Ovis aries: one gene and its partner. The protein of the gene in region 2 interacts with the protein of the main gene of each other region in a pairwise test. Links are inferred from orthologs where the notes say so. Each region holds a gene or a part of one and is shown on either strand. Other genes may lie near its edges. The genes, in order: LAMP2 and SNCA.

Region 1 (4,396 bases), on a different chromosome or scaffold from region 2:
TATAAAAACCAGAAGTCAGACTAGTTATGGGAATCAGTAACCACGGAACTCTGAAATCTATAATGTCACAGGGGAAACATAAGCAATGATGCTAGGAAAAGTTTTTCATCCACTACTCTCTAACGCCTCTAGGTAGCTTTTCTTCAGATGTTCTCTAGGCAGGTCAATTCATTCCAATAAATACTAGCATAATTTAATCTTTGTGAAAAAGGCCAATACACAGGCTCTGAGAATTCCTTTCTATACTTACTCTAAAGCAGCTATTTTTAAAGAGCTACCTGGTAGAGCTGGGAGAGAGTTATAAAGTTACCAAGTGAAACCAGTGCACTACCAGTTAATGAGGTCATAAATCCAGGAACAAATCCTCCTCCCTGGGACCCTCTGCAGTGCTCAGAACAGTGTGAATTTCACAGCAGATACTTTATTGACTTTCCAAAAAACTATTATTGGTATCCACTTTGATATATAAAGGTAAGGTGCAAAATCCACCAAGCAACTGAAGAATTGCTAAATTCTTAAACACACACAGGAGTTTGAAAATCTTCCAAGAGGATGTTAGTCCCAAACAATAAATGGCAAACTAGCAGATGAGCTGATGCTTTTTTTTAATGTGCTTCTTTTCTCCTGTTTATTTTCTGCAATGAGCAAGTACTGCTTTTGTAAAAAGAGCACACAAAAAAGCTTTCATTAAAAGGAAAAAAAATGACAAGCAAGCCAACAAGACAATGAATTTTTCCCCCTTTCTCTGAACAATAAAAGTGTTGTTTGTGCTGATCCAATTGGCAGAGAACTACTGATTACCAGATGCCTTGGTCAGATGTGTTCTAGTCACTGATAAGGTGCTTCTCACTGTAAACAATCCTCTCATAGGGTCATTTGGCCTCCCTAAGTGCTTCACAGAGGAGTCAAGGCTGCACATTACATTTGAGCAAAGCTCCGTGGCCCCTTTCAAAAGGGCTAGAGGCTTTCCTGCACTAAATGCACAGCTAGATTCCCTTCTGGCATCAGGGCCCCTTTACTCTCTTATCCACTGAGGACCTCAAAGGGCTTTGTTTATGTGACTTATATCCATTGTTACTTGCTGTACTAGAAATTAAAACTAAAAAAAAAGGACTAAAACACGTCAGACCCATGAGGGTGGTGATGTCATCACACATTCTATAGCTTCTGGAAAACTCCACCGTACTGAGGAGCGGATGAGTGTGAAAAAGACAAATATCTTAATTTCAGTCTGGAAATAGTTTTCATCTGACAGGAACTTCCCCCCACCCCACCCCCAAAGATCCTTAAGAATCACTGGTCGATCCAGACCCCTTCCAACGCCACAGCTTTGGAGCCAGACTCCTCATCCTTTGGCACTCCTGACATTCTGAGATGGGTCATTCCTTATTGGGCGGGGGGGAGGGTGTGTGTGTGCTGTCCTGTGCCTTGTGGGATGTTTAGACGCACCACTGCCCTCTTCCCACTAGATGCCAAAAGCAATCCCCAGTGATAACAACCCAAAATGTCTCCAGACATTGCTAAATGCCTCTTGGGTGAGAATCCACCATTCCACGTGTTGACTTTATTCTTCTACTGAAATGTCAATTACAAAATGTGTGCCTCTCACTGCCCTTCCCCAGCCCCTAATGTATCTATTTCTTCTCTATTTCCATCTGAGTCTGCCCCTTCTGGTCTTTTATTAGGTCACAAACGGCAAGAATCAGGTAGTAACAAGCTCAGAATTTATCAGGACAGGAAGAAAATTCTGGTCAAAGTTCACCTTTCAGGTAGTTAAAGGCCTCGGGGACCTAAAGCGTTCTGGTCGGGGGGTGGGGGTGGGGCACGGGGCGCTCACAGCGCCAGGAGCCAGCCAGCCAGCCATTCTTAGGACCTAGTAAAAACCCGATCCTTAGAAAATGACCTGCCCTCCTCCTCCTCCTCGGAAAACCAGGCGGTAACAGGCCAGTTGTGTGAGAGAGAAGAAAAGGAGCTTCTGAACGTAAAGTGGCAGTGTACAAGACTCAGATACACCACCCGCAAAACCTCAATATCTGAGGACCTTTTTTTAATCAGTCTAGCTGGAAGGAAGTAATAAAACTGGTTTTAAAAAAATAAACAACTATGTCCTCAGCACTTCCAAGTCAGATATTCACTCCCCACCGAAGTTGGTATTCACCCGTTTTAGTCTCCAGAGATTGGGTACATCGAAGTTTTCTCGTCTGGAAATTGCCCCAGCCACCGTAGCTCCCCCTTCCCCATCAACACTCCAAGTACCAAACCCCAATTTATCTCTCTAGAACCACCCCTCCTCCACAGCGTTAAACTCCTGCCCCAACAAGCCTCTTATTGCTCCTCAGAATCTCCCCCTATCTGTCCCCCACCCCCCTTAACCCAAGCTTCTCCACGCAGGCAGTCCCCTTCCCTCCTCAGTTTCCTCTCCCGCCCCACAGGTTCCCACCATCTTCAAAACTCTTCCTTGATCCTAGGACCAGGACTCTAATTGTCCGTGCCACCCCAGAGACCGCACGTACCGCCCTCCCACGCTCACCTCTCCTTAGCATCGCCCCCAAGTTACTCTTTCCACCCCCAGTGCTCCACTCCTCACTCTTCCCTGCCTACTCCCTCGGCGTCCACCCCCACCCCTTGCTCTTTTTTATTCTCATGGGCCCTTGTCCCTCGCCATCCCTCAGTCGGGCCTTCGCTAGGTCACTGCTCATCACCTCGGGCCAAGCGCCAACGCCCAGTGTCTGTCATTCAGCCTCTCAACCCCCTCCCCTCCGGACCAGTCTTTCAGGTTACTGCCTCTGAACTGGGAGCCCCGGGCCCAGGATCAGGGACTAAGAAGAAGGGCCCGACAACTCACCCAGGACGAGGCAGAAGAGAAGGAACCCACAGCCCGGAACCGGGGCGAGGCGGAAGCACACCATGATCCCGGAGAGCAGGCGGCGGCGACAAGAGCAGCGACAGCAGGGAAAAGGCTCGCTGAAACCTGATAGGAGCGCTGATGACCACCGACCACAACGCTGCAAAAGCCAGGACTCGGCGCTTTCAGCGCGGGTCATAAGACCAGGGGCGGGGCTCTTTCTTGCCTTCAGCCAATCTGCGCGCTTGAAAGAGGCCCTAGGGGTGGTGATGCTTGGGCCCAGTGGGCGGGGTGACCACGCCCTGGCTTTTTGGTTCACAGTCATTTTTATGCTCCTAAGAGATGCGCGCGGACGGCCCTTTCTGAGGTTTTTTAAGGAGAGACGAACTTTTTTTGGGGGTGTAGCTAGTATAGATTATTTCAATTCTGACTCTTTGAGAATACTTTTGCTGGAGTAAAAATGGTTGCTAGGTATTGCAACGTCATACCTACAGAAATAAAACAGGATTATTCTCCAAACACCGTTGCCCATGCAGTTCATGTCATTAAAAGGACAAGGGAGCTAGAGGGTGATATGGAGTCAGTGAACACCAGAGCAGGCCTTGAAGTTCACCTAGTTACAACACCCTGTTTTTCAGATGGGGAAACTGAACTCAGAAAGAGGAAGAATCTTATTTAAATATAGAAAAACAATGAGGAAGAAATAGAAGGACAAGGGAAGAAAGGATCATCCATATTCCGAGTACACAGAAAGAGACACCATCCAACAAGCTGTTTTTCCTCTACCTATACACATGTAAATATTCTTTAGTTAGAATTCACGCTAAACACATTATTTAGTATAGTTGACAACTGAACAGATGAAACCCAAACTCTTCAACAAATGAAAGCATTCAAAAATTATAAAGATCTCAAATTGGGACAAAGCGTTGATTCTCAAATGTTAGTTTCCAAAAGTGTCATGTGGGGATTTTTAATAACATGTAGAATCCTCACCTCATTCCCCAGAGATTCTGAAACAGTAGGTCTGTGGCACTCCTAGGAATCAGTTCTTTTAACAAGAACTCCAAGTGATTCTGATTCCTATGGTTCCCAGACTACATTTCAAGTACCAGAAAATAGAGCTTCAAAATCATCTAGTCCCAGGAGATCTTAATCTGGTTCCAATGGATGAACTAGGGGTGGGGGATAGGTGTCTGTGAATCCCCCAAAATTACAGGCAAGATTTACATATGTGTATTTTTCTGAGGAAGTTGGTAGTTTTTACAATTTCTTAAGTAGGACCTATGACTTCTCACCCTAACACCCACTCCTGCTCCAATATTAAGATCTATTCCACCACTGTCCTTCGCTTGAATGTGATTAATTCCTGAAAGTGAGAACACTGAATGTGTTGTGTCATGAGTGAAACTAACTGCCCCATCAATAAGGCTAGGAAGCAGCTCTGTCCTGGAGAACCGGCAGCTGAGTTGAGCGCTCAGAAGTGCGCCCCCCGCCATTATTTTTATTTTTTTATTTTGGCTGTGCTGCATGGCATGCAGGCATGCAGAA
Region 2 (4,453 bases):
ATTCATCCAAACTCACAGAATGTATTGCAGCAAGAGTGATCCTTAATGGAAGCTATGGAGTTCGGATGATCATGATGTGTCAATGTAGGTTCAGCAGTTGTAATGAATGTACCATCTGGTAAAGGATGTTGGTAATTTGAGAGGTTATGCATGTGTGGGGTTTGGGGTACATGGGAAACCTCTATATATCAATTTTTCTGTTAATTTAAAACATAAAAATTAAGTCTTTAATTTTTTAAAAGTATGCCTTTTTACTTATAGGTTCGGCTTTATTATGATGTTCTCACAAGAACTCTACAGGGTACTTGCATGTATTCAAACTGTATTTTTACAAATGAGTAAAGTGATGCTTAGATATGTTAAGTACCTTTCCATTATCCTAGAGGTTAAAAAGTGCTGTAGTCTGGACTGGAATTCAAGTTTGACATCAAATCTACATTTTTTTCCTACTTTATCAGGAGTCAGTAAACTATAGCTTATGAGCCAAATAAACTCTCCAGCTGTTTTGGTAAGTAAAGTTTTATAGGAACATAGTCACCCTAATTATTGTTTATGGCTGCTTTCACTTCAGGAGAGCAAAGCTGATCAGCTGAAACAGACATCATACCCTAAAATTATTCACTACCCCTTTAGGGAAAAAGCTTGCCAAAACCTGGTAGTACTATAACTTCACAAGGTCATACTTCATCCTGAATTATGTATTTGTGTTCAACTTTTAATTGACTTTAAAATATCAACTGATAAATAGTATATAGAATGCACTCTGTTAAATACCATAATGAACACTGAAGATTATTTTTTAAAATATGTATACATAAACAAATTGAAATTTCATATAATAATCTCAGAGAAAACAACAGAATTAATCTCTAAAAAATTGTTATTTTATTTGCCCAAACTCATGGGTGAAAATGAAAACAAGTACAATGTTTTCCAGATGATAATCCTGCTTATTACCTGGAAAACAGCACCATGTTAATTTAATAGTCAGTGGTTCTTGGACTCATTCAAAACTAATAAATCAATATTATCCAACTAAAAATATCTTAAAAGTAACTAAGCTATAAAGTAACTGAAATCAAGGAATGGTTACAAAGCATGCACTTGTACAACTTGGAACACTGAGGACAAATATAAAAATACTGATTATCTAAATGTCACTGATTCAGTATTCCAAATTCCACCTAAAAAGATACAATCCACATTTCACAAGAAAAAAACTGAGTTTAACTCATTGACTTTTCCCTCTTGTAAGATCTTTCAATTCAATGATTTTCTGAAAATACATTTTAAGATAAAGAGTAATTTAACTAGAGGTTTGTGGTAAGATTGAACCAAAATAAAAAGTCTATGAACAGTGAGAAAAAATATGAGAAATATTCATAAAAATCATTCCAAGTATAACTTTTCTCCAGTCCATCTCTATTGAAGAGACGATATAGCTTTCCTTCACCCCACAGACATAGACAGAGTATTCTACACAATCCATTATGCTCATCCTCCACTTTATTACTCATCCTTTGGCTACTGGTGCTACACCTGCTACCAGAGAATGTGAGGAAAAGGAGGAAAAGCTCAGAGGAGAAAAGAGAATGGGCAGTGTGTGAGTGTATGCTCATGTGCCCGTTTGTATCCCTATAGATGAGTGTGTGTCTATGTGTATGCCTATTTCTTCACCCAAAGAATTCCAGGTGACTTGTAAAACAACACCCAACCTAACACAGTTCAAGATTAAAAAAAAAGAGTAGGGCTTCCCTGATAGCTCAGTTGGTAAAGAATCTGCCTGCAACGCAGGAGACCCTGGTTTGATTCCTGGGTCAGGAAGAGCCTCTGGAAAAGGGATAGGCTACCCACTCAAGCATTTTTGGGCTTCCCTTGTGGCTCAGCGGGTAAAGAATCCAGTTGAAATGTGGGAGACCTGGGTTCAATCCCTGGGGAGATCTGGGTTCAATCCCTAGGTTGGGAAGATCCCCTGGAGAAGGAAAATGTTATCCACTCCAGTATTCTAACCTGGAGAATCTCCATGGACAGTCCATGGGATCACAAAGTATTAGACAGGATGGAGCAACTTTCACTTCACTGCAAGAATACTCTGATGTGGGAATTTATAAACAAGGAAAAACAGTAAGCATCTAATTTATTGTATCATTTGATAAATGAACTATATAAATGTCTCAGAGATATTAGCAGCCTTCAAGCACTTTCTTGAGCTTAGTCCCCAACTTACCAAGTGGTCACAAGAAGTAACTCCAAAGACTTGTCTGTCCTTTTCTTTTTAGAGTCACAGTAGGTCTCTCTTTACATATCTCAAGATTATATCAACGTCTTACTTTTAAATTAGAATACACTGAAGTTAGCATATATTATTCATGAAGATAAATCAAAAGCTCATGGAGGAGTTTGATTTTAAGATACTATTGAATATTTTCTGAGACTGAGTTTTTAAAAGTGTCCTCAGAGCTATAGTTACTTATGCATAGAAACATTCATTTAAAAAAAGAAAGTCCTAAATATTACTGCAAAATTAAATAGTCTGGAAAAACAAAATAGCCCCACTTTGTATATTAGCTCAAACACACACATTCACCTACTTACACACACCTCTGATTCAGCCCATCACTTTGAGGAGTGGTGAGAAATACCAGCATTTAAAGCATCAATCATCCTAACCCATCAATCCCAAATAAATATCAAAGTGACATTTAGGGCTTACCTACCTACATAGAGAACACCCTCTTTTGTCTTTCCTGCTGCTTCTGCCACACCCTGCTTGGTTTTTTCAGCAGCAGCCACGACTCCTTCCTTGGCCTTTGAAAGTCCTTTCATGAAAACATCCATGGCTAACGAATTCCTTTACACCACACTGGAGAAGACAAAATACACTTTAAGAACTTCTGCGTAAAAAACAAAATTAGAACCACCCAAAGTAAAAACTATTGAAAGATCAGTAGAATCCTCAAAAGAGTGAGATTCTCTTAAGTGTACCTCCATTTCAACCACTGGACAAAGGAGGCTTTTCTTAGCTTTTGCATTAAAAATTTAGCATCTCCCATCCATCTTGGCTGGATAAAGTCTAGCCGCCTAAACATGGATTAGGATGAATCATATGAGCTGTTCTTACGCGTTTCCGAAGTGGAATTGCACGGAAAGATAGACTCCTCTTTTAACTTCCCAGGGTCCAAATGGTGACAGTATAAGTTAGAAGTGCGTTTAGAAGACATCACAGGAAAAGGAAAGGGACCTGAAGGCAGGGGGTCAGGGACACGCTTACATTCCAAAAGGCAGCTAACAGATCAATCACGAATAGGGGAGGGAAGGAACCACTCACTCTGGGTGTGGCTGAACCTCAGGCCAACTGCGAGCCCACCGCCCTCGCTCTAATTCACCCAACCATGCACCCGACCCTGGGCTATCAACCCAGAGCGTGCAGGAGGGCGCGAGTTCACAACCACGGAAGCCTCAGGAGGCGCGCCAGCCACCCGTGGGGGCGTTCTCAGCGCCTGGAACCCGCCCCCTACCCTGCGCCGCACCTGTTAACCCCTTATCACCTGTTGACTCGCCCTCTCAGCGCTCCCACTTAACGATTTGCCAAACATAGCTTGTTTACTTCACAGAGAGAACAGAGAGGGCGGACTAGAGGCGGGGGGCGGTTAAGGAAAGCGACAAACAAAAGTTGAATACTCATACTCCCTGGAGCATCCTCGCGTTTCCCAAAGGAGAAGCTTATCCCTGAGAATCCAGACCTCTCGGCCTCTGAGGACGAGAAGAGGGAAGCAGTCGAAGCAGGAGGCAAACAGGTCAGTTGCCTTTCCTCACGCTCACCCTAGGGATAAGCACTCACCTCTGAGAGAGGCTCGACTACAGCTGGTCCTCGCGGCAGCACGCCCACCCCACCCCCGCGCGCCCCGGGGCGCCCGCAACGACTCTTCTCCCACCAGGTGTTCTCCACGACTTCCAAAGCTGCCCAGTTAGTTCCACAAGCACTTACCAGATTTCCTCGGCTCCACGAACTCCAATTTCTCCCCCACCCCCACTTAAAAAATTTAAAAAACAATTCCCAAATGTTATTTAAGTGGGAAGAGAGAGGATAAAGAGCGCACAGGAAGGGTGGAGGCGGCACCAGAAGAGGGATGGTTCCCAGAGGAGGCGGCTGTCAGCACAAGCCTGCGCTGGGAGGCGGGGAGCGTGGGACGCAAACCCACAAACCTGCCGTCGAATTGCCACTCCTCGTCCCCCGCACGAGAGGATTCGAGAGAAGAAGGCAGAAGGTCGGAAGGGAAGGGTTGGGGGGTGAGGGGAGCGGGGAAGAGCGCCAAGGATGCTGCAGGCGCGGCTCGGTCCCTGGGTCCGCTCTAAAGCCAGCACACACCTCACCCCGCGTCGCCGCGCTCGGTCGCTGGCCCCCTCTCCTGCTAGTCTCCGCGGTCCTCCTCCTCCCCTTCCTCTCACCGCC

The links.
Region 1: the proteins of SNCA (region 2) and LAMP2 interact in binary tests that used the Homo sapiens proteins (3 or more experiments, as listed by UniProt). The link is inferred for Ovis aries from reciprocal best matches to the Homo sapiens genes SNCA and LAMP2.

What each region holds. Positions count from the first base shown.
Region 1 is NC_056080.1:104,795,166-104,799,561, forward strand, and holds the start of LAMP2 (lysosome-associated membrane glycoprotein 2), read right to left. Parts: upstream 3,017-4,396; 5' UTR 2,910-3,016; coding exon 2,846-2,909; intron 1-2,845. UniProt on the Homo sapiens protein: Lysosomal membrane glycoprotein which plays an important role in lysosome biogenesis, lysosomal pH regulation and autophagy.
Region 2 is NC_056059.1:35,535,173-35,539,625, reverse strand, and holds the start of SNCA (alpha-synuclein), read right to left. Parts: upstream 2,839-4,453; coding exon 2,718-2,838; intron 1-2,717. UniProt on the Homo sapiens protein: Neuronal protein that plays several roles in synaptic activity such as regulation of synaptic vesicle trafficking and subsequent neurotransmitter release.